Arabidopsis thaliana: one gene and its partners. The protein of the gene in region 1 purifies or fractionates together with the protein of each later gene. This does not show direct contact. Each region holds a gene or a part of one and is shown in the gene's direction. Other genes may lie near its edges. The genes, in order: E2F3, ABCE2, AT1G42440 and ACC1.

The links.
Region 2: the proteins of E2F3 (region 1) and ABCE2 purify together in Arabidopsis thaliana (affinity purification with mass spectrometry, with the first as the bait; one large-scale study listed by BioGRID). This does not show direct contact.
Region 3: the proteins of E2F3 (region 1) and AT1G42440 purify together in Arabidopsis thaliana (affinity purification with mass spectrometry, with the first as the bait; one large-scale study listed by BioGRID). This does not show direct contact.
Region 4: the proteins of E2F3 (region 1) and ACC1 purify together in Arabidopsis thaliana (affinity purification with mass spectrometry, with the first as the bait; one large-scale study listed by BioGRID). This does not show direct contact.

What each region holds. Positions count from the first base shown.
Region 1 is NC_003071.7:15,117,900-15,123,699, forward strand, and holds E2F3 (E2F transcription factor 3), read left to right. Parts: upstream 1-1,689; 5' UTR 1,690-1,788; coding exon 1,789-2,064; intron 2,065-2,100; coding exon 2,101-2,250; intron 2,251-2,580; coding exon 2,581-2,767; intron 2,768-2,819; coding exon 2,820-2,861; intron 2,862-2,901; coding exon of another isoform or gene 2,902-2,955; intron 2,956-3,039; coding exon 3,040-3,214; intron 3,215-3,340; coding exon 3,341-3,392; intron 3,393-3,490; coding exon 3,491-3,549; intron 3,550-3,630; coding exon of another isoform or gene 3,631-3,681; intron 3,682-3,787; coding exon 3,788-3,836; intron 3,837-3,956; coding exon 3,957-4,022; intron 4,023-4,111; coding exon 4,112-4,188; intron 4,189-4,361; coding exon 4,362-4,605; intron 4,606-4,731; coding exon 4,732-4,801; intron 4,802-4,896; coding exon 4,897-4,994; 3' UTR 4,995-5,285; downstream 5,286-5,800. Other genes in the region: EMB3114 (Mitochondrial transcription termination factor family protein), read left to right, coding at 1-283; HVA22J (HVA22-like protein J), read right to left, coding at 5,525-5,800. UniProt on the Arabidopsis thaliana protein: Transcription activator that binds DNA cooperatively with DP proteins through the E2 recognition site, 5'-TTTC[CG]CGC-3' found in the promoter region of a number of genes whose products are involved in cell cycle regulation or in DNA replication.
Region 2 is NC_003075.7:10,499,388-10,505,724, forward strand, and holds ABCE2 (RNAse l inhibitor protein 2), read left to right. Parts: upstream 1-1,735; 5' UTR 1,736-1,927; intron 1,928-2,506; 5' UTR 2,507-2,518; coding exon 2,519-2,621; intron 2,622-2,841; coding exon 2,842-2,927; intron 2,928-3,022; coding exon 3,023-3,120; intron 3,121-3,203; coding exon 3,204-3,321; intron 3,322-3,410; coding exon 3,411-3,500; intron 3,501-3,605; coding exon 3,606-3,910; intron 3,911-4,005; coding exon 4,006-4,201; intron 4,202-4,286; coding exon 4,287-4,472; intron 4,473-4,561; coding exon 4,562-4,831; intron 4,832-4,918; coding exon 4,919-5,164; intron 5,165-5,269; coding exon 5,270-5,389; 3' UTR 5,390-5,404; intron 5,405-5,511; 3' UTR 5,512-5,830; downstream 5,831-6,337. Other genes in the region: AT4G19200 (proline-rich family protein), read left to right, coding at 1-148, 723-1,003; AT4G19220 (Tetratricopeptide repeat (TPR)-like superfamily protein), read right to left, coding at 5,879-6,337.
Region 3 is NC_003070.9:15,894,683-15,901,632, reverse strand, and holds AT1G42440 (pre-rRNA-processing TSR1-like protein), read left to right. Parts: upstream 1-1,527; 5' UTR 1,528-1,693; coding exon 1,694-1,784; intron 1,785-1,859; coding exon 1,860-2,014; intron 2,015-2,084; coding exon 2,085-2,216; intron 2,217-2,294; coding exon 2,295-2,345; intron 2,346-2,437; coding exon 2,438-2,578; intron 2,579-2,677; coding exon 2,678-2,800; intron 2,801-2,901; coding exon 2,902-2,979; intron 2,980-3,086; coding exon 3,087-3,179; intron 3,180-3,259; coding exon 3,260-3,382; intron 3,383-3,635; coding exon 3,636-3,719; intron 3,720-3,815; coding exon 3,816-3,914; intron 3,915-4,047; coding exon 4,048-4,239; intron 4,240-4,358; coding exon 4,359-4,434; intron 4,435-4,608; coding exon 4,609-4,712; intron 4,713-4,798; coding exon 4,799-5,061; intron 5,062-5,141; coding exon 5,142-5,228; intron 5,229-5,311; coding exon 5,312-5,542; intron 5,543-5,674; coding exon 5,675-5,753; intron 5,754-5,843; coding exon 5,844-5,907; intron 5,908-5,989; and 3 more.
Region 4 is NC_003070.9:13,531,351-13,536,182, forward strand, and holds the start of ACC1 (acetyl-CoA carboxylase 1), read left to right. Parts: upstream 1-1,817; 5' UTR 1,818-2,209; exon of another isoform or gene 2,210-2,548; intron 2,549-2,816; 5' UTR 2,817-2,845; coding exon 2,846-3,187; intron 3,188-3,338; coding exon 3,339-3,545; intron 3,546-3,631; coding exon 3,632-3,793; intron 3,794-3,874; coding exon 3,875-3,967; intron 3,968-4,100; coding exon 4,101-4,196; intron 4,197-4,376; coding exon 4,377-4,550; intron 4,551-4,643; coding exon 4,644-4,737; intron 4,738-4,832. UniProt on the Arabidopsis thaliana protein: Multifunctional enzyme that catalyzes the carboxylation of acetyl-CoA, forming malonyl-CoA, which is used in the plastid for fatty acid synthesis and in the cytosol in various biosynthetic pathways including fatty acid elongation.

The sequences.
Region 1 (5,800 bases):
TTACAGTATTGCTGAGAATTATGAGCCGAAGTTGAAGTATTTGATGGTGGAGATGGGGAGAGATGTTAGAGAGGTTCTTGAGTTTCCTCAGTATTTCTCGTTTAGTTTGGAGAATCGGATTAAACCGAGACATGAAGCTTGTGCTGCGAAAGGTGTGAGGTTTCCATTGCCGGTGATGTTGAAGACTAATGAAGCTGGTTTTAGAGATACATTGGAGGTATGTTGTGATTCTTCTCCGCCATTGAAGACCTCTCGCCTTGTTACTGTACAAAAAGATTCTTGATTTATAGAGTTTTGTGTGCTAGGAGAACATGGAAGCAAGTGAGTGAGAGTTTCTTGCTTTTTGTTGTTGTTTTTTTGTTTAATGGAGTTGGAGAATTGGTGAGAATTGATGGGGTTTGCTTTGTTTTTAGGTACATTTTTGTAATGAATGATGATGAAGAACTCAATGAATGAAGAAACCAGCCTCTGCCTACATTTTGAGACACACACAGGGATGGTGAGTTAAATCTTGATAAGAGAAAGAATGTTCATTTACAATTCACGATTCCGATGTATTTCGGTCTAGTTATTGTTAGTGAACGAGAAATCAAGTGTATGTAAGTCCAGAAACCGTGTAGAGTTGCGATTTGCAGAGAATTGTGATTCTACAATTGGAGGCAAGATGATGAATGTGTGAACTGATTAGCGTAACGGTTTAGTTATTGGTCTTAAGTCTTAACAGGGAGAATTGGTTCTAGAGCTTTTAGTCCCTTTGATGGTTCGTGAAATGCCAGTGGTCTATGATCGGATTCTCTGTTTCCGTTCTCCTTCTTTTTTTGGGCCTTAAATCCGTTTTTATTGGGCTTCAACTTGATAACGACTTTACATTCTCTCGGCTCAAATGGGGTACACTCGTAATGAACATGAATGAACTTAAGGTACTACAATACAACAATGCCTCACACTCTCTAAGTGAACCATTTTTCTTGTGACCTGTAATAAGCTAACGGCGCAGGACAAGAAAAAAGCGGTACGAAAACTTTGCCAATCTAGGTCTTTACCAATTTCTATTTACCCTTTCTAACTATTTTCTATCACTCATTTGTCGTTAATACTAATTAATGACATCAATCATGTGCAATATTATAGTCCTCCAAATACTGAATTGAATTATGAATCCTTCATCAAGTGACTTTAGACTTAATCTACACTTCGCATCAGTTTTTCCACTGCCATACATGATACAACAACCACTAATCAATACAAAAGGATAAAAAATAAAAATAAAAATATTATTACACATATCATAACGGAAACAGCAGCACATGTACTATAAACAAACTCTATCCCAATCTATTTGCAGAAATCTGTTTACCGACTACACACATTTAAATAAAAATTTCAGATTCAAAAAACAAGTTCTAGATCAAAAATATATATGCATGATCTCCTCTTCTTCACCATTATAAAGAACAGAAAAGAATCTCAATATTCCCGTTACTAAAAGGCACAAAAAGTAATTTCCCTAAAGTAAGTAGGGTCAATCTAAAACTAAATACAAAATCCCGGGGCACAAATAGAAAGAAAAAAAAGTATATATTTATTTCCTTAACATTTTATTTATTATTGCTATAGGCTTCCCTCCACATCTATCCCAACATAAAATTCCCTCCTTCCCTCGTTTTCTGCTCTCTCCTTTTCTTTTCTTCTTCCTCTTTCTCTCACTAAAACCCTTGTTTCCTTCACTCGCCGTCGCTTTTCCCGTCATCGGAATCTTCAAATTCGACTCTCGCTTCACTACGATCCATGTCCGGTGTCGTACGATCTTCTCCCGGTTCTTCTCAGCCGCCACCGCCGCCGCCGCACCATCCACCGTCATCTCCGGTTCCGGTTACATCTACGCCGGTTATACCACCTATACGTCGTCACTTAGCTTTCGCCTCAACAAAACCTCCGTTTCATCCTTCCGATGATTACCATCGATTTAACCCTTCTTCGCTCAGTAATAATAACGACAGGAGCTTCGTTCATGGTTGTGGTGTTGTAGATCGGGAGGAAGATGCTGTCGTTGTTAGATCTCCTGTGAGTTTTGGGTGCTTTTGATTCTTCGATTTAGAGATTTTCCCCAGTGAGATTGGTTTAGAAATTCGAGGATGTTTTGGGGATTTCGATTGCTACTTGTTGCTTCTAAGTCTGATTCAAAAGCTTCGCAGCGTTAGATTATCGTCGATTCGTGTCAATTTTTGTCGTTTGTTTAGCTTCGCGATGGTACATTTTGCTCATAACACTGCGTTTCAATTACACCCAATTGACGCAAATCAGACATCAATTTCTCCAATTGCCATGCCAAATTGGCTCTGATTGTTGCGTGAGGTGTTGAATGTTCACATAGTGTTGAGCATTAGCTTATTGATATCAAAGTATTGGTGTATGAAGCTTGACATTGTTTGTTAATGTATAATGTTTCAAGTAGATCCCAATGTTGTGAAAGTTTATGAGGAATGATATAGATAATTTGTGTGTGGATGCTTTAAAACCTTTTGGATGATATTTCTTTGACCAACTTCTTTAAGCTAATAACAACTTGTTTATATGCAGTCACGAAAGAGAAAGGCGACAATGGATATGGTTGTTGCTCCATCTAATAATGGATTCACGAGTTCTGGTTTCACTAACATACCTAGCAGTCCCTGTCAAACTCCTAGAAAAGGGGGCAGAGTCAACATCAAGTCAAAGGCCAAAGGAAACAAGTCAACTCCTCAAACACCCATCTCGACAAACGCTGGTAAGAAGAATTGTATTCTTGACTCTCTACCCCTTTTGGCCTTTCTATATAGTTAGATCCTTTTATGAAATATCTTTCATGTCTAGAGTAACAAGTAAGTCGAAGAGCTGATTACTTTCCTGGTCAACTTGCAGGTTCTCCTATCACACTTACTCCATCAGGAAGTTGTCGTTATGACAGTTCTTTAGGTAATTAACAACTTTTCACATATATATTTAATATTCGATACATGTTATAGTGTATATGAAGATGCTGACATAAAAGCTGTTCAGGTCTCCTTACAAAAAAGTTCGTCAATCTAATTAAACAAGCCAAAGATGGAATGCTGGACCTAAACAAAGCTGCAGAAACATTGGAGGTGCAGAAACGACGTATATATGATATTACAAACGTTTTGGAGGGGATAGATCTCATTGAAAAGCCTTTCAAGAATCGAATACTTTGGAAGTGAGGATTTTTATGATATAGTATGCTTATGTATTTTGTACTGAAAGCATATCCTGCTTCATTGGGATATTACTGAAAGCATTTAACTACATGTAAACTCACTTGATGATCAATAAACTTGATTAGGGGAGTTGATGCGTGTCCTGGCGATGAGGATGCTGACGTATCTGTATTACAGGTGTAGTGAAACAGCATACACTCAAAAGTCATTGTGCATGTAAATCTTAAAATATCATGTAGTTCTCGCTTCCTTTGATTAATGTTCTTGTTTTGTAGCTGCAGGCAGAAATTGAAAACCTCGCCCTCGAAGAGCAAGCATTAGACAACCAAATCAGGTAAGCATTCATTTAAAGAGTTTTGGGTTATTGTGATTAATCTATTTAACCAATGCTGACGCTTTAACAACTTTTATTCAGACAAACAGAGGAAAGATTAAGAGACCTGAGCGAAAATGAAAAGAATCAGAAGTATAAATCTCTGTCTATCTATCTTTTCGTATGGCTAGTTTGTTCTGGCTATGAGATGGTGCTATTTATATGATGGACACTTAACCAATCCGTTCACATTGTCCAGATGGCTTTTTGTAACTGAAGAGGATATCAAGAGTTTACCAGGTTTCCAGGTCTGTCTTTCCTATTTCATATGTTTAATCCTAGGAATTTGATCAATTGATTGTATGTATGTCGATCCCAAGACTTTCTTGTTCACTTATATCTTAACTCTCTCTTTGCTGTTTCTGCAGAACCAGACTCTGATAGCCGTCAAAGCTCCTCATGGCACAACTTTGGAAGTGCCTGATCCAGATGAAGTTAGTCTTTTTCAGCGACCTTGGATGACATCTGCCATTCTTTGTTAGATTCCAAAACGTTATTATAATGTTTCTTCTTTACTTGACAGGCGGCTGACCACCCACAAAGGAGATACAGGATCATTCTTAGAAGTACAATGGGACCTATTGACGTATACCTCGTCAGGTATTTATGCGTTGGCTTCAAATAATAGAAACATTGTTATTGGCATTTTCCGTGACTTCATATACTCTACTGATGATGGTATACATATAATTGAACGTATCAAAACAAAGATTTCTATGATTTGGAACATTCATTGTCCCGTTTACATGCTTTTACTTTGTCTTCATGTTCAGCGAATTTGAAGGGAAATTCGAAGACACAAATGGGAGTGGTGCAGCACCACCAGCATGCTTGCCTATTGCTTCTAGCTCAGGATCTACAGGACACCATGACATCGAAGCCTTAACTGTTGACAACCCAGAAACTGCTATTGTGTCTCATGATCATCCTCATCCTCAACCCGGCGATACCTCTGATCTTAATTATTTGCAAGAGCAAGTAGGAGGAATGCTTAAGATTACTCCCTCTGATGTTGAAGTAAGCCATCTTCCTGCTTATTTTTATAATGAACATAGAAATAGGAAGTTGTGCAGAGAAACTAATTAACCTGACTCAAAATCTACCCTCATAATTGTTGTTTGATATTGGTCTTGTATTTTGCAGAATGATGAGTCGGACTACTGGCTTCTCTCAAATGCTGAGATTAGCATGACGGATATTTGGAAAACTGACTGTATCCTTTGCATATATGCAATTTGTTTCTCTCTTATAGTTAACTATATCTATCTGCATAAGATATAAATACGCAATCCTTAACTCTAGCAAAAGCTGGTATCGATTGGGATTATGGAATAGCCGACGTGAGTACTCCACCACCAGGAATGGGCGAAATAGCACCAACAGCTGTTGACTCAACCCCGAGATGATCGAATACCAAGCACACTTCTCAACTTCTGATCCCAAATGTGTTACCTCACAACACTCCCTAAAATCATATACAAGGAGGGAGCAACTACAGAACGTGTATGAACCAATGGCAGGTGCGTTCCATACAATGTACCATTAGATTATGATTCATTTATCGCCTAGAGTGATGTTGTAGAGGAGCACCGAGAAACTAATGTAAGTTTAACAGAGAATGTACTTCATCGGCTGCATTGGTACACTATTTGATTATAATATTTTTGACCACTCAAATGCATCTTTATAATCAGCTATATGAAGAAATCCAAACTCAAATCAATATCCGGATTAAAGCGGGAAGTTTAAACGAAAACAAACACAAATATTCTCGCTGTATTAATACTTACTGCTTCAATTTACAGAAAACATGAAAAAAAAAAAAAAATCTGTTTTGTTTCAATTCAAAACTTTCATTCACTTTTCTTTCCCTATATATCTTTAAACAAACGAAAAGGGTTTCTTTGTCGAGTCACGTATATGTACGTTTGCGTTACTATGCCGCTGGCTGAGTTCTGGAGTTAGAACGTCGCAGCTTAGCTCGAGCATCAGTGAGGGGTGATCCCGGAATTGTATCAGGAATGTTGACTCCATCATCACCGTTAAATGTTCCGGCGGAGTCTCGGCCTGGTGTTGGTGGTGGTGTTGGTGGCGGCCACTTCCTCCCTCTGCTTGTTTGCTTCTCTAGCGATCGCAACGCAGATAGTGATTTGTTCAGCGGTCTTGGAGCGCGCGGTGATGGAGGATCATTGTCCATCTCCACCGGTGACTG
Region 2 (6,337 bases), on another chromosome or scaffold:
CCACCACAACAAGGGTATCCTCCAGCTGGAGGCTACCCACCTGCCGGATATCCTCCTGGTGCTTACCCTGCTGCGCCCGGTGGTTATCCTCCTGCACCTGGAGGTTACCCTCCTGCTGGCTATCCTGCACCTGGAGCTCACCATTCAGGTATGCATTGTCTCGTTAAAGAGCTCTTCTTTGTAGTTTTGGTAAATGTTGATGTTTTCTATGCAAAAGCTATGGAGTGTCCTTGTAGCTTGCTTGGATTATCAACCTGCTAAATATTGTTAATCATTGAATGTTAATAGGAAAAGACTTTATAAATGTTTCGGTTTTCTATGAAAAAAGCTAAAGATTGTGCGTGAAGTTTGCTGGATCATTAACCTTCGAACTTTGAATGATAATAGAACAATAGTTTGTAAATCTTACTGTTTTCTTTGTAAATAAAGCTTAGAACTGGCCTTGTTGTTTGCTGGATTATCAGCCTGCTAAGTATTGTCAAGTTTGAATGATAGTATGACAATTGTTTCTGAAATGTTGTTTTTTTTTCTGTGATAAAAAGATGAGGACATATAAACTTACTGTCTTCTGTTTTGGTGTATACATTGATGTTTTAATTTTAAATCTACTAGGAGTACATGTTTAATCGTGTGTGCTTATCAATATGCAACTTTGTGGTCTCTTATATGCATTCTGCTACTTTGTGGTTCTCCATGTAATACTATTTTCTTTTTTCCATCAGGACATTCTGGTGGTGGACTCGGAGGCATGATAGCAGGTGCAGCTGGTGCAGCCGCAGCAGCTTATGGAGCTCACCATGTTGGTCACGCCTCTCACAACCCTTACGGGCATGCTGTAGGACATGGAGGGTATGGCCATGCCCCTGCTCATGGCTTTGGCCATGGTGGTCATGGTAAATTCAAGCACGGAAAGCATGGAGGCAAATTCAAGCACGGAAAGCATGGAAAGCACGGGAAACATGGCATGTTTGGAGGAGGAGGCAAATTCAAGAAGTGGAAGTAATCTCAAAAACCCCACCTTTGATCCTCTCCTCCAGTATAGTCTCATTACCTGACCGATGTTTCTAATAATCCCCCTTCAAACATATTTCATTTTAACTATGTCGGTTTAGAGATTACTGGTTGAGGAAATAATTGGAGAGTGCTAGTATAAACCTTATGGTATCTGCAGCAGAGGTTTCTTTAATCTCTCAATAGTAGATGCTTTGAAACTTATCTATAATTTGGTATTGTAATGACAGTTTGTGTTTGGTTTTTTCTTCAGTATCTTCTTTGTTTGATCATTTGATGTTGGTGGAGTTCTCCAAAATATTTATGCTATTGTAGATCCTAACCTTTCTATCTTGTTATTCTTCGTTTTTTGGCCATTATTTTCGTTTCGCTCCCGATCCAAATTCCAAAGTACTTCAACAATATCTTATGCAATAACGAGACAAACACTTAAGGTCGTGCAAGAATAGTGTCTGTTTTTCACTGATTCACTTTTACAGAGAACAAACTGAATTAATTTTGATTATTGAATAGTTGACATGCAATAATATTTGTTAATCCAAATGAATAGATAAAAAAAAAAATTCCTTGAGAGTAAAGAAACTAAATTTTGGAAGACAATTTTTAACTAGTTTTCTCTAAAACTAGGAAAGTCAGAAAATGAGAAAACAAATTTGATTTTATTACGGAAGTGAAGGGCTTTCCGACAAATTGCTTTGCTCAGACCAAACTGTAACCGACCCAAGCCCAATAAAAAAGCGAATCGGGTCAAACGAAAACAGATAATTCAGAAAACCCTAAATTCGTTTCTCTTTTTTTTTCTTCATTCTGAGCAAAGCAGTAACTCTCAGGTGCGTGTGCTCTCCGCTGGTTCCTTAGAACAATCGGCACACGCTTTTTCATTTCAATCTTCTTCTTCTACTCTTAAGTATCTCAGGTACTAATCTCGATTTCTCTATTTCTCGTCCATGGAGATTTAGATTTCAAGTCAGATGCTTTTCGATTTGTTACAGATGTATAATTTTTGTAATCGATTGATTCGCAGCTTGGATTGTATTGAGCCATCGACATACCTTCAAAATTCTTATAATTGTATTGAAAGTGTTTGAATTTAATGTTTTTTTTTTTCTTTCTCTCGATTGTTTTGATTTCTGGGCAAGTGTCAACTTTTGTAACAGATTAGTGACCTTTCTCTTTATAGATATGTGGAAGAATTTGGAATTTACAAATTCGGTTCACCATTTTTATCTGAAGCACTGAATTTGCGTTTTTCAAGCTTGAGTGAATATTATTTCTTGGCTCTTAAGATTTTGCATGTCAACTATTATTTCATCATTGTTAGCATCTTGTGGTGTTCAAGTTATTATTTTAAATATTGTTTGTGCTACTCTATAGTTATTCCCTATGTTGTTATTTCGTTCCTTTGCCTTAGCGTGACATCTTTATTTGGTATATTTGTATCTGTGTGATTTAGTTTCTTCAGGCTGTTAAACTATAGATTTCATGTATTTTGTAGGTCTGTTGAGAGATGGCAGATCGATTGACACGTATTGCTATTGTGAGTTCAGACCGTTGCAAGCCAAAGAAATGTCGCCAAGAGTGCAAGAAGAGTTGTCCTGTGGTCAAGACAGGTGTATATTTTTATTCCAAATTTGGATCTGTGGTCTTTCATGTGGATTTATTATTATTGTACTGTAATTGATTAGCTTTGTTATGTGCGTCATGCCAATTAGTAGACAGAGAATGGTTAGGTGTTTATGTGAAGCCATTAGCTTATAGTTCCTACTTGAAGTTGTTGTAACTCTACAAATTTTTAGTGCCACTTGTTCATTAACTTGCCTTTTATCTTAGGAAAACTTTGTATTGAGGTGACTGTTGGTTCCAAGCTTGCTTTTATCTCAGAGGAGTTGTGTATCGGTTGCGGTATTTGTGTGAAGGTATGTATGCATAGGCTCTTTCCGATATCCAAGATGCCTCTAGAAATGGCACCTAAACTGGGATGCTAAATGACTCTGTTGTTACACAATTGCAGAAATGCCCGTTTGAAGCTATTCAGATTATCAATCTTCCAAGAGACTTGGAGAAAGATACGACCCATCGTTATGGGGCAAACACTTTTAAGTTACACAGGTTCGTTTATCTACTATTTTTCCTGAAACAAATTGACCGCTCTTGTAGTTTTCAGACAATGAAATCTTTGTCTTTACTTCCAGGCTCCCAGTTCCAAGACCAGGGCAGGTGCTAGGGTTGGTTGGAACCAATGGTATTGGAAAATCAACTGCTCTGAAAATTTTGGCTGGAAAGCTCAAACCAAATTTGGGCCGTTTCACTGTAATAGCCTCTCTTGAGTTTCTAAACTTTTATCTTCGAAATTTGGTCTCTTTCATAGTTGATGTGTTCATATATTCCTTGTTGAACAGAGTCCTCCAGACTGGCAAGAAATCTTGACTCACTTCCGTGGTTCAGAACTTCAAAACTACTTCACACGTATTCTAGAAGATAATCTTAAGGTACAGTTGAAACTGATATTAATATTTTTCTCCATGAGGTAGCTAGGTATTATTTGATGTTTAAGCAGCTCAATTGAGCAAGTTCTGATACCCTGTGCATGGCAGGCCATTATAAAGCCTCAATATGTCGACCACATCCCAAGAGCAGTTAAAGGCAATGTTGGAGAGGTCCTTGACCAGAAGGATGAGAGAGATAAGAAGGCAGAGCTCTGTGCTGATCTGGAGCTGAACCAGGTCATTGACCGTGATGTTGAGAATTTATCTGGTGGTGAGCTGCAGAGGTTTGCAATCGCTGTTGTTGCCATACAAAATGCAGAGATTTACATGTTTGATGAACCATCTAGTTACCTCGATGTTAAGCAAAGACTCAAAGCTGCTCAAGTTGTTCGTTCTCTCCTGAGGCCTAATAGGTTTGAATTTCCCAGCTTCTGAAGTTTTTTTTTCAAAAGGGATAAAAAATAAGGTACTTACATTGTTTTTTTTTTGTTTTTTTTTTGTTTCCCAGCTACGTCATTGTTGTGGAGCATGATCTCAGTGTTCTTGATTACTTGTCGGATTTCATTTGCTGTCTGTATGGGAAACCAGGAGCCTATGGTGTGGTGACTCTCCCCTTCTCTGTCAGAGAAGGAATCAACATTTTCTTGGCTGGATTTGTTCCTACAGAAAATTTACGTTTTAGAGATGAATCTTTGACCTTCAAGGTATAGATATTTTGTATGATGAAAGGCAAAGTTTTGTCGCCAAGGCAATAAATTGTTTTCCTCAATGTTTTTCTTTTGTTTGAAGGTTGCTGAGACTCCACAAGAAAGTGCTGAAGAGATACAGTCGTACGCTAGGTACAAATACCCCACGATGACCAAAACTCAAGGAAACTTCAGGTTGAGAGTGTCGGAAGGTGAATTCACTGACTCTCAGATTATTGTAATGCTTGGGGAGAATGGTACAGGGAAGACAACATTTATTCGGATGCTGGTATTCTCTTCTTCCATGATATGTTCTCTTGTGGTTAGAGTTTTAGAAAGTACTGTACTGTAAAGTTGTAATATTGGTAATATTTGCAGGCCGGGTTGTTGAAACCAGACGACACAGAAGGACCAGACAGAGAGATACCAGAATTCAATGTTTCGTATAAGCCACAAAAGATCAGCCCAAAGTTTCAGAATTCAGTTAGGCACCTGCTACATCAAAAGATTCGAGATTCTTACATGCATCCACAATTTATGTCGGATGTGATGAAACCACTTCAGATTGAGCAGTTGATGGATCAAGAAGTTGTCAATCTCTCAGGAGGAGAATTGCAAAGGGTTGCATTAACTCTGTGCCTCGGAAAGGTAATTATTTTGTTTCAGACGTCTATATGACGTAGTTGCTTTCTTTCTCTCAGTGATCTCATGCATCCACAATGTGAATTCTTACAGCCTGCGGATATATACCTGATCGATGAGCCAAGTGCATATCTCGATTCTGAGCAACGTATTGTTGCTTCTAAAGTCATAAAGCGATTTATTCTCCACGCAAAGAAAACTGCATTTGTAGTCGAGCATGACTTTATAATGGCGACCTATTTGGCAGACCGGGTCATTGTGTATGAAGGACAACCATCCATTGATTGTACTGCAAATTGTCCTCAATCACTGCTCAGTGGAATGAATCTCTTCTTATCTGTAAGTCTCCTATTATATCTCTTAGTTACACCGTATGGGCAAGAGAAGAGGGCATAAAGGTTTGGTGCTAATGATTCCTATTTTATGTTTTTCGTTACCATGCAGCATCTGAACATCACATTCAGACGGGATCCCACCAATTTCAGACCAAGAATCAACAAATTGGAGTCGACCAAAGACAGGGAACAGAAGTCTGCAGGCTCATACTACTACTTGGATGATTAGGACAACTACCAAGAGGTTCTTGATCACTAAAATCCAATCATGTTTTCTCAATCATACAACGTTTTATGGAATCAACATCTAAAATGTTTGTTTTCTCTTAATGTCCTTCAATGGATTCACAGAATATAGGGCATTGTTCGAATTCCAGAAGGGTCTTTTGCTCAGAGGAAGTTGATCTATGAGCTCGGAATATTTTACGCAGCCATCTGTTTTCCGAGTGCATAAGCACAGATGTTTCTTTCTGGTCAAGCTTTTAATTGTTGTTTCATCAGTTTTACTTCTACATTTTCTCTCTCACAGCTTTTATTAACTGAGCAATAAAAGTTTAAGAATCTGTAACCTTTTTTTCTTTTTGGCTTTGTACTTCCTGAGTTGATGATTTCAACATTTACTGTGATGTTACTACTTTGGATTTTACAATCTATTGCCTATTTTTACATTATTTTCTTTCTTCTTACACAGCGTCTAACTCACTGATATAGGAAAACTTCAAGAAACAGTATCTAAACACCTAACGTCAATAACACTGTAACCAGGAAGCTTTTTCAAGGCATTATCCTCCACCATCTTCCGTAGTCTTACAGCTTCTTCCCAACCTCCCAATCCAACATAAGTATTTGCCAACGAGATGTAATAAGATGCATTGTCTGGTTCCATTTCAAACAAAACTTCTGCAACTTCTTTTCCCAACTTTGTATCCCCATGATAGTTGCAAGCGCTCAACAACGCTCCCCATACACCTGCTTTTTGTGGCTCACCAATCCCTGTGATGAACTCATAAGCTTCTCTCAGTTTCCCTGCCCGGCCAAGCATGTCAACAATCCAAACCCGATGCTCAGTAACTGGTTTAACCCCAAATTTTTCCTCCATTTGCTTGTAATAACTTAGACCTTCATCAATAAACCCAGAGTGGCTGCAAGCTGACAACAGGCTTATGAAACTGCTCTT
Region 3 (6,950 bases), on another chromosome or scaffold:
ATAAGTAATACAAATATTCAAAATAAATGATATAAAATGACCCTTTTTTGTAGTGATTGCACAATGTTTTATAGAAAGATGAATATACATATATCAGTTTATTGTTTTTGGATCTAGAACTTTTTTTTCTTCAGTCTCAAATATTATATGTGACTCCTTTTAGAATGGCACACATTATAAATTAAGAAAAAGGTATTGGCTTTAAAAACTTGTACTAACATATGCTAAAACAACAGTATAAACCTCTTTTTGTAAAACAAATAACACACAAATATCTATATATATTAATAAATCATCAAGCTTTTCACGACCCACTCAAAGTAATCATGATCACTCATACTCATCTGATCTTTATCATTCCAACACCACGCCACCGTTTTACCAAAACTAAACAACTAAAAGAGCATCTGGTTCCGATTTCTCATAATTAAGAAGGAGAAAAAATGCTACATGTCAATTCCCATCTTTACAATAATAAATTCGTGAAAGTTAATGTGATGGACAGACAGTTTAGTGTACGGGTACATGTCAATTGTTGGGAATTTAACTTACAAAATATAAAAAGAGAAAAGCTAGCTCTAATATATGCGATGGGGGGACTCATTAAAAGAGATTCGTTTTAGAGTTAGCCCTAAAACTTAATTCTGCGCTTTTGACATCACATTCAATCCCGTTGTTGTTGTTTTTGTATGTGACACATATCAATTGATTGATAACACGTGTCACGATTGTGAGCCAAATTTGATATAATAATATGAATTTATAAATTTTTTTCCTTTTTTACCTTTCCAACCTAATTTTAGTCCTAATTTTTGTAATTTTTCAAAATTTTCATTCATTCAAATCATTTATTTTCTATTAAAATTTTGTTTTTATTTTTTGGTATAGAAAATGACTTTTAAAGTTAAAACAAAAACCTCAAAAAAACAAAAAACAAAAAAAAACTTTGTAAACTTTCAAATTTTTCATTCATCATATCATTTGTTTTTCCACTAAAATTTCTGTTTTTCTTTGTCTTTGTATACGAAAATGACTTTTAAGGTTAAATTAAAAAACCTTAAAAAAACCAAAAAAAAACAAAAAAAAACAAAAAAAAACTCTTTAAAATTAGGTAAAAGTTGAAAAAAGACAAAACGTTATATTGCCGAAAAAAGGAATATTAATAATTAAGGCCCTAAGAACATCCTTATTGGTAAGTTCTTAAATTAGTTCTTATGATAAGAACATCTCATTTTAACTCTTATATAAGAGACAAAATGACATTTATATAAAAGACAAAAAAAAATCCCAAGAACTAATCTAAGAACTTACCAATAATGATGCTTTAAGCATGCAAATGATATCATTTTAAGCACAAATAGTAATTTATATTGGGCTGATAGGCCCATAAACTGCATTTTATTGGTAAAGTTTTAGGCCCCAAGCATGTGTAGCAAAATATCATTTTAAGTCACAAATACTCATTCATATTGGGCTAATGGGCCCATAAACTTCATTTTTATTTGTGAAGTTAGGCCCACATATTTTGTAATTCTTCGTCTTCTTCCACTTTTGTCTTTGAGCCGTCGAACAAAAACAAGTAGTCTGAAGACAAACTACACAAAACCCTTGAGGAAATAAAACTGCAAAATTGAAATTAGGGTTTATACTTTAAAGCAGTCACCAAATCCAGCCACCATCTCTTGCTGAAGCCATGGGACGCTCTCGAGTTCAAGTTAACAAAGCTCACAAGACTCGTTTCTCCTCTAAATCTTCTCGTAATCTCCATAGAACCAACCTTCAAGGTAAACCCCCTAAATCCTCAACAATTCATCTCTTTCAATCTCCACATACTGAAAATCGCGTTTGAATGGAATCAGATAGTGGCCGGATTGGGAAATCGGATAGTAACTATGTTAAAGGAGCTAAAGCTGCTCGTGTTCAACGTGGTAAGATGCTTAGAGAGCAGAAGAGAGCAGCAGTTTTGAAGGAGAAGAGAGCATCAGGAGGAATTAACAGTGCTCCTCGTGTTATCGTGAGTTTTTACATGTTTGTGTGTTTGTTTGTTGCAATGTTCCACTTATGATATTTTCTAATGATGATAGGTTTTGTTTCCTCTCTCTGCTTCTGTGGAATTGAATTCACTTGGTGAAGATGTTTTGAAGTTGTTATCTTCTGATGGTTCTGGAATTGCTTCTTCGACAGTTGCATCTTCTGAGTATAAGCTACGAGCAACTGTATGTGTATTCCTAAGATTTGTTTATATAGATATATGAATATTTGTGTGATCAATGTTGTGACTATATATATTACAGGTGTTAAAGGCGCCTCATGGGGATCTTCTGACATGTATGGAAATGGCCAAGGTATGTGAATTGTCTTGTATTCGTTTGTTGGTTCTTTCAGTGAGCAGAGTTTGTTATAGGTGTTTACTGATTTTTTTTGGTACTGGTATTAGGTTGCTGATTTGATGGCTTTTGTTGCATCTGCAAGTGCTCCGTGGGAAGAGAATAGCTCTAACTTCATAGATTCTTTCGGAAGTCAGTGTCTTTCTGTGTTTAGATCAATTGGTCTACCAAGCACTACTGTGTTGATCCGTGTAAGTTCTTTCTGCTCTATATTAGTAGCGACCAGGTTTCTGATTTCTTGAAATTTTGCTTGAAGTTGAGCTTAACAAGTTCGTTTTGTATGATTGCAGGATTTGCCCAGTGATGTGAAAAAGAAAAATGAGATGAAAAAGATGTGTGCCTCTCAACTTGCTTCTGAATTTCCTGAGGATTGTAAGTTTTATCCAGCAGATACCAGAGATGAGTTGCATAAGGTAAATGTTTATGACTGATAATTTTTTATATTATTTTACTGAGTGGTTTTCAATAGTTTTAATGTTCTTAATTAGTAGAACATTTCTGGGCTTGTTTGCAGTTTATGTGGTTATTCAAGGCGCAAAGGCTTACTGTGCCTCACTGGCGAAGTCAACGATCATACATTGTGGCTCGCAAGGTGTGTGATTTATGCTTATATAAGTTCATTACATTTAATCTGACTCTGAGAAGAAAAGGGTTTTATAGAAAGTAGAATATCTCTGTAATGTTGAATGGTGCATTTAGGCTGGGATGCTGGTGGATGATGAAAGCTCAGGAAAGTGCACTCTACTTCTCTCTGGTTACTTGCGTGCTCGCAAACTGTCTGTAAATCAACTGGTAATCAAGCCATTCTGCTATCTATATCATGCCTTGTGCTATACCCATGGATCCCTTGTTAATTTATTTTCTCAAATTAGGTCCATGTTTCTGGCGTTGGGGATTTTCAATTCTCCAAAATTGAAGTGCTGAAGGATCCATTTCCTTTGAATGAAAGGAAAAATCAGAATTCCATGGAATTAGATGATTCACATGATGAAGAGGTATATTATATATAATATTTTCTTTACAAATCAACAAACTATTACTTTAGAAAAGATACATTAAGTTGAATCCTTCAGATATAGTTATAGGAAAAGAGGTTATATAGTTTGTTGGAATGCTGTCATAATATCATTTTACACTTAATTTCATTCTTAAAATAGGATGTTATTTTGCTTTCATAATGCTATTTTCACAGCTTTCTTCTCTTTGTAAATTCACTTTATTTTTTGTACCTGTGTTTGATTTGACCAGGTATTGAAGTCTCTGGTTCCTGATCCCATGAAACAAGAGCCTTTAGTAATTGAAAACACTCCAGATCCTTTAGCAGGGGAACAGGTAAGTCTGATTAGTTCTCTAAAAAATGAAGGTGGCAGTTGGCTCGTGTTGTTATCTGTTCTGGGAAGTCACTTGTGCAATTCTTCCTTTGTGTAGACATGGCCAACAGAGGAAGAAATGGCTGAGGCTGACAAAAATCAGAAGCAGGGCAGGCTAAAGAAGAAGACTTTGCCGCGAGGGACTTCAGAATATCAGGTTCCTGGATTATTTTTAACCTGATGTTTCTAGCCTCATTTTAACTATTCTTCTGTCTTGTGCAATTTTCCTCAAAAATAAATGTTATAAGCGGGTGGCCCTCTTATTTTGGGTTTTATGATTTGTTTTACAGGCTGCTTGGATTGTGGATGAAACAGATGAAGAGGATTCCGATAATGGTGATTCTGATGATAATGGTATGGTATTGGATAGAGGAGAGGATTCCAATCAAGAAGGAATGTATGACCAAGAATTTGAGGATGACGGAAAATCATTGAACCTGCGGGATATTGATACTGAAACTCAGAATGAATCCGAAATGGTGGTATACATTTCTGTCCACCTACTTTTATGACTTACAAAACAGTACTTGTAGCTTCATTGCATTTTTTGTTCTCGTCGACTATCTTGGTAATGTTATAAGCCAACTTGCTCATTGTTCAGGACGATGAAGACTTGACAGAAGAACAAATTAAGGATGAAATCAAGAAAATCAAAGAGGCATATGCTGATGACGAAGGTTGGTGTTTATTTCCTCTGTGTGGAGTTATGTTCTGTATGAGTCATTGTGTGTCTGTGTGTATAAATGCAAATATTCATTTGAGTCCTTGTAGAGTTTCTGTATCTCTCATGTGCTAATTGATTTTGTCTTTTCTGTTTTTACTCATTAAAATTTTCTTTTATGTTTTGTCAGAATTTCCAGATGAAGTAGAGACTCCCATTGATGTTCCTGCAAGAAGACGTTTTGCAAAGTACAGGGGTCTTAAATCCTTCAGAACCTCCTCGTGGGATCCAAATGTAATAACACTGATCTTGATGTGAATTTCATTATATTTTTCACAGTTAAGTGTTGCTAATTTTTTATAATTTATTGGCAAATGCAGGAGTCTTTACCTCAGGACTATGCTAGAATTTTTGCTTTTGATAATGTCGCAAGGACTCAAAAGCTTGTGCTCAAGCAAGCCCTGAAGATGGAAGAAGAAGACAGAGATGATTGTGTACCAATTGGGTCATATGTACGGCTGCATATTAAAGAAGTGCCTCTTGGTGCTGCCTCTAAACTATCTTCTCTTGTGAACACAACGAAACCAATTATAGGATTTGGGCTTCTGCAGCATGAATCCAAGATGTCGGTTCTGCATTTTAGGTAATCACTCTTAAGATATCTGTTTGTTGAGACCTTGAGTGCTCTGCCCTCTTCTCATCACCTTTGTCTATGTTTTGCAGCGTAAAGAAGTATGATGGTTACGAAGCTCCTATTAAAACAAAAGAAGAGCTAATGTTCCATGTTGGTTTCCGTCAATTCATTGCAAGGTAGCAAATTTTTTCTGCTTTATCTACTTTAGTAGGTTTTCTTGTTTGCGATCTTTTGTAATTTTTGTCGTGGGAATTTCCAGGCCGGTATTTGCGACCGACAATTTCAGCTCAGACAAGCACAAGATGGAGAGATTCCTGCATCCAGGGTGTTTCTCGTTGGCTTCAATATACGGCCCCATATCTTTCCCACCCCTTCCTTTGGTAGTTCTGAAGATTTCTGAAGGGTCGGATCCTCCTGCCATTGCTGCCCTTGGTTCCTTGAAAAGCGTAGAACCCAACAAAATAATCTTAAAGAAGATAATATTAACTGGGTAATGACCTCATTCCAAATACAATCACATATTCCAGTTTGGATAGATACTAATGCTCTGACATTTGAACTGGGGAGATAAAAAACATAATCTGTAGTAATTCTAAGCTGTTTGAAATGTGGTTTGGTTCAGGTACCCTCAGAGAGTATCGAAAATGAAAGCTTCAGTCAGATATATGTTCCACAACCCCGAAGACGTGAAATGGTTCAAGGTAAAAGAGAAAAATAGAATCGATGGATTGAATAATATACGTATTAATTTTTATGTTAAGCTAAAGCTGGCACAATGTTTGTGTGTGCAGCCTGTTGAAGTATGGTCAAAATGCGGGCGTCGTGGTCGCGTGAAGGAACCAGTAGGCACACATGGTAAGGCATTAGTATTAATAGAAGAGATTGCCAAGCTAGAGTTTTGTTTCTGGAATTTTCCTTATACATGTGAGCTGTGCAGGGGCAATGAAATGCATATTCAATGGAGTGGTTCAACAACATGACGTAGTGTGCATGAACTTGTACAAGCGCGCTTATCCCAAGTGGCCTGAACGTCTGTACCCACAGCTTCTCTGATTCGAATTTTTTAAATGAAGATGATGATGTTCAAGTTTCTCTGAATTGACGACATTCTTCTTTGGTAATTTATGGTGGTGGTTTAGTGGAAGTCCTCCAGTTTTGTCCTGTATGTGATAAAAATATGCAAATTTTCTTCTTTATTGCTCACTATACATATACATTTGGAATATGGGGTTGAACCATTGATAAGCTTAATTGTTATGAGAAAAATACTTAAATAGATTGAGCTTGTTCTTATTAAAGACATTGCTTGCTTGCTCACAATAAGCTACCTATATTTGATTAATCTGCCTCATATATGGGAATATCGTCTTTTTCATAGCCCGACATATAAGCTGTGTTGAATTCATACAAGTATCTAATTTTTATTTTTTTTGGTCAACTAAAAAAGTATCGTACAAGTATCTATTAAATGTACTAAAACAAACTCTCACTTTCATAAAATTCAAATTGCAAACCTGAAATATACAAACTAAAATATATAAAAAACGTGGAAAATGCTTAACATTGTTAACCCACCGTCAATTCATGTTGACATGGATTGTGACGTGCCCAAAGACTCCAAAACGACGTCGTTTGGAGTGAAATGAGATGCCAAATTTTCCGCATAAACGACGTCGTTTCCGCATAAATAGATTGCTGATTGTTTTTAGGCTTGTTTTAGATTTTAGGTTCTTTGTTGGGTTTAAGGTACTTGGTGATTGTTTTTAGGCTTGTTTTGCATCGGATGGTTTATGCGGAAAATTTGGCATCTCATTTCACTCCGAATGACGTCGTTTTGGAGTCTCTGGCCACGTAACAATCCACGTCAACATGAATTGACGGTGAGTTAACAGTGTCAA
Region 4 (4,832 bases), on another chromosome or scaffold:
TACCTCTTATATAAAACCATCGACAAAGAGTTGTGATGAATGATGATTTCTGTATATTAATGATTTTTGGTGAAACATATAAATGATTTTATAAATATGAATGGTTTGCAATACAATATGCTTTTATGAATTATAGTCGTGATAAATAAAGTAAAAGCATATCTGAGACACTAACATATACGATATAGTCTAGAATGTGGTAAAAGTTTTTATTATCCTTAGCTTAACATGGCCATGCATATTATTGTGAGATGACCACCTCATGCGTATGAGGTAGATAGATGAAGAATTGGTAAAAATCTATGAATTGATTTTACATGACTAACTTGAACTTGGGTGCAACACTAATCTAGATCTTGGTCCAATATACGTTCTACTAAATGAGAAACAAAACATTAAAACATTTGAAACACATAATTTACAAGCAAGAGGAAAATAAAATGTTGGTAACCTAAACCACCCAACCTTGTGTCAACGACTCAACGTACACAAATACAATTCCTCTTGGCTTTAATCTATTATATTACACATTCCTAAGACAATAATAAATATTTTCTTTAAAACGGAAACAGACCGACCAAATAAACGAAATAATAAATCTCATACAATGCGATCCATTTGCTATGGCCTCTTGTGACGTATTTGAAGTTCATTTAACACAGACGGTAGAAATTTATTGTCTTCTTCATGGCTTACCTAATACTATTTTAAAATAGATATCTTTCATTGCTTAACAAATTTATACCATTCTTCTTTTATTCGGCACAAATCTATGTTTTGCTATCATTTGCTTTGTTCGGATACAAATGTAAAAGAGATAGTTATGTAGTAAACTAAATGTAGTAAACTTTTAAATAAGAAAATTATGAAATAAACTCAAATCAGCATTTTCTTGATACTTTCTAATAGTCTTAAATATACACAAGAACAAAACATAAGTATATAACCATAAATTGAAGTTAGCTAAAGAGAACATAAATCTAAAGATGGTAAAGGAATAATATTTCTTGATTTGGCCTGCGAATATATTGAGAAAAAAGTTTCCAACAAGTTAAATGTATCTTATATAAAGCATTAAGAATGGTATATATTAATTTAAATATAACCTAGAAAAACTATGCAAAAGATTTGTTTGGGTTTGAAGATTATCCACTTAAATTTGGCAATTAAATTCAAGAAACTATTGGTAAATTATATATGCCAAAAACTAAACTGGCAAAAAATATTGAAATCTCCGGAGATAACCGAAAAACCTAAGTTTTATCGATTAAATCTAATCATATTCTCTAGATTTTCTCTGAAATTAAAAATTATTCTGATGTCTATAAAAAATCACAAATTCCATATAAAATTTCCTGTAATCATATATTTTTGGTTTGGTTAAAATTTTTTTTTTTCCAAAACTTGAAATAAAACTTTGTATAATAATACTATGCAATAGATTTGTTCGGGTTAGAAGATTATCCATCTAAATTTAGCAACTAAATTCAAAAAACAATTGATAACATAATATATCTCTGTAAACTATATATGCCAACATAAAAAATATTTTTTTCTGCAAAATAAACTGGCAAAAATTATTGAAATCTTCGAAAATGACCGAAAAACCGAAGTTTTATCGATTAAATCTTGTCATATTCTCTAGATCTTCTCTCTGAAATAAAAATTGTTTTGATGTCTATAAAAAATCACAAATTCCATATAAAATTTCTACAGTATTCAATTTTTTTTTTGTTTTGGTAAATAAAAAAACTTGGTTCTAAAACTGGAAATAAAACTTGAAATAAAACTTTGTATAATACTACAATGAGAAGCATTGGGAAATAATATAGCGGAAAAAACAAGAGTGGGGGGATGAAATGAGGTAGCTGAGGAACAAGTACGGCGCCTCCTAACAAAAAGGGATCGAAAAAAAACAATGGAGGTGTGGAGTGTGGCGGAGGCAGAGACCACGTGCTCTCTCTTCTCTTCTTCTCCTTCATCTTCTTCCTCTCTTCATCATCTCCCATTATTAACTCTTCTGACCCCACTTTCCTTCTCCTCTTCTAACTCCAACCTACCCTCTTCTCTCTTCCCTCTCTTAAAACCCTTTCTCTCTCCCTCATTCTCTTCCATGTCCTCCTCTCTGTTATTCTTTAGCTAAACACCCACAATTCTGGCCTTCTCTGATGCCTCTTTAAGCCAATTTGTATCTCTGCTTCCTTACAAGGTTTAAAGTTTTCTGCTTTTGCTGATTTTGTTATTTGGGTGTTTTAAAGTTTTGATTTTTATGGTTTAGCAATCGGAATTTGGACTTGTTTTTGTGATTTTTTACTTGTTGTTGGAGTTGGGTTTTGTTGAGTTTTTGTTATTTGGGTGTTTTAAAGTTTTGATTTTTATGGTTTAGCAATGAGAATTTTGCACTTGTTTTTGTGATTTTAACTTGTTGTTGAAGTTGGGTTTTGTTGAGTTTTCGACTTCAATATTGTAGAATTTTAGTGGGTTTGGGGAGTTTATAATCATTAGTTCTGAGATCTCTCAGATTTCTAAAGGAACTCATTATTATTGGGTAATGATGCTTTCTTACTTGCAAGATCTTTGCTTATGATTGCGTTTTGCTTTTTCTATACTCTTTTTTTCTTCATGTGATTACGCAAAAGCATTGCTGTCATCTTTGTTAATTCCACCTTGTAATCTGAAGCATCTTTGTTTGTTAGATTAAGCAACCAGATTAGGAATTGTTTTAATATTCCTGTTATGTTCTTTCAAGTCATTTTGGTAGATAGCATCAGTTTCTTTGTAAAGTGATTCAGTATGTGTTTATGGCTGTTTTGTAGATATATCTGAAGCTTAAAGGGCAGTGACAATGGCTGGCTCGGTTAACGGGAATCATAGTGCTGTAGGACCTGGTATAAATTATGAGACGGTGTCTCAAGTGGATGAGTTCTGTAAAGCACTTAGAGGGAAAAGGCCGATCCATAGTATTTTGATAGCTAACAATGGAATGGCGGCTGTGAAGTTTATACGTAGTGTCAGAACATGGGCTTATGAAACATTTGGTACGGAAAAAGCCATATTGTTGGTGGGGATGGCAACCCCTGAAGACATGCGGATCAATGCGGAGCATATCAGAATCGCTGATCAGTTTGTTGAGGTTCCCGGAGGAACCAACAATAACAATTATGCTAACGTTCAGCTGATTGTGGAGGTGAATCCAACTTTTGGGAACTACTATTATCTGAATTATCGTGTTTTACTGTACAGAACACATGTATTAAGCTCAATTTCAGCAATGAAGTTTTGGTCTTTGGAGTTATTTTTCATTCATCTGAACATCTTTGTCTACAACCTGTGTGCAGATGGCTGAAGTAACACGCGTGGATGCAGTTTGGCCTGGTTGGGGTCATGCATCTGAAAACCCCGAATTACCTGATGCCCTAGATGCAAAAGGAATCATATTTCTTGGTCCTCCAGCATCTTCAATGGCAGCACTGGGAGATAAGATTGGTTCTTCGTTGATTGCACAAGCTGCTGATGTACCCACTCTGCCATGGAGTGGTTCCCATGTAAGTAAATTTACTCTTGTTAAGCTTAGCTTGTGTACCAGAGGTATATATTTTCATTTTTATATACTGAATTCCTATGTTTTCAGGTTAAAATACCTCCTAATAGCAACTTGGTAACCATCCCAGAGGAGATCTACCGGCAAGCATGTGTCTACACAACTGAAGAAGCGATTGCTAGCTGTCAAGTTGTCGGTTACCCAGCAATGATCAAAGCATCGTGGGGTGGTGGTGGTAAAGGAATCAGGAAGGTCAGCTTCTGTAGATATGCCTTTTGATTGTGGACTAAGCCGATTACTATATAAGTACTTATTCTGGTTTTAAATTTATAGGTTCATAATGATGATGAGGTTAGGGCTCTATTCAAGCAAGTTCAGGGTGAGGTCCCAGGCTCACCAATATTCATAATGAAGGTTGCGTCACAGGTATGGCTGCTTAACTATATCTCTTGATCGAAGCTTAGCTGAGTTCTTATCTGGTTACTTTACTAGAGAATTTAAAGTAGTAATGCATTGCTTTTCTTTACATTTCATTTTTTCTAATTTTTTTTTTGTATAGAGTCGGCATCTAGAGGTCCAGCTGCTCTGTGACAAGCATGGAAATGTTTCAGCTCTGCATAGCCGTGATTGTAGCGTCCAGAGAAGACATCAAAAGGTTTGTTAGTGGTTGATTCTGGATTTTTAATTGTCTGGTTAGTGGTTATATAGAAAAACATTCTGTCCATTTATTCTTATATAGTTATATACATCAATTTTTGTTCTCCAACTGAGTTATAGTCCCTTTTAGCGATTGCAAATTATTGCATGAGCTCTTACTTTATCGTTTGTATCGTAGATCATAGAGGAGGGTCCAATTACTGTGGCTCCGCCAGAAACTGTCAAGAAACTTGAACAAGCAGCTAGAAGGTTGGCTAAGAGTGTTAACTATGTTGGAGCTGCTACTGTTGAGTATCTCTACAGTATGGACACTGGGGAGTACTACTTCTTAGAGCTTAACCCTCGCTTACAGGTTGGTTTCATACTGCAGCTTTTTGCGTTGAAATATATTGAAGGTCCGGACTTGAAAATTGAATGACTTGTTTAACTTGATGTTTGAGGTCAGGTTGAGCATCCTGTCACTGAGTGGATTGCCGAGATAAATCTTCCTGCTGCCCAAGTTGCTGTGGGGATGGGAATTCCTCTCTGGCAAATCCCTGGTATAATCTACGTCCTTATTTCTTACAGGCAGCGGTTCCTCTTCTTTATCCATGCACACGAATAATGTACTGTCTGTTTCTCTTTAATTTCGTAG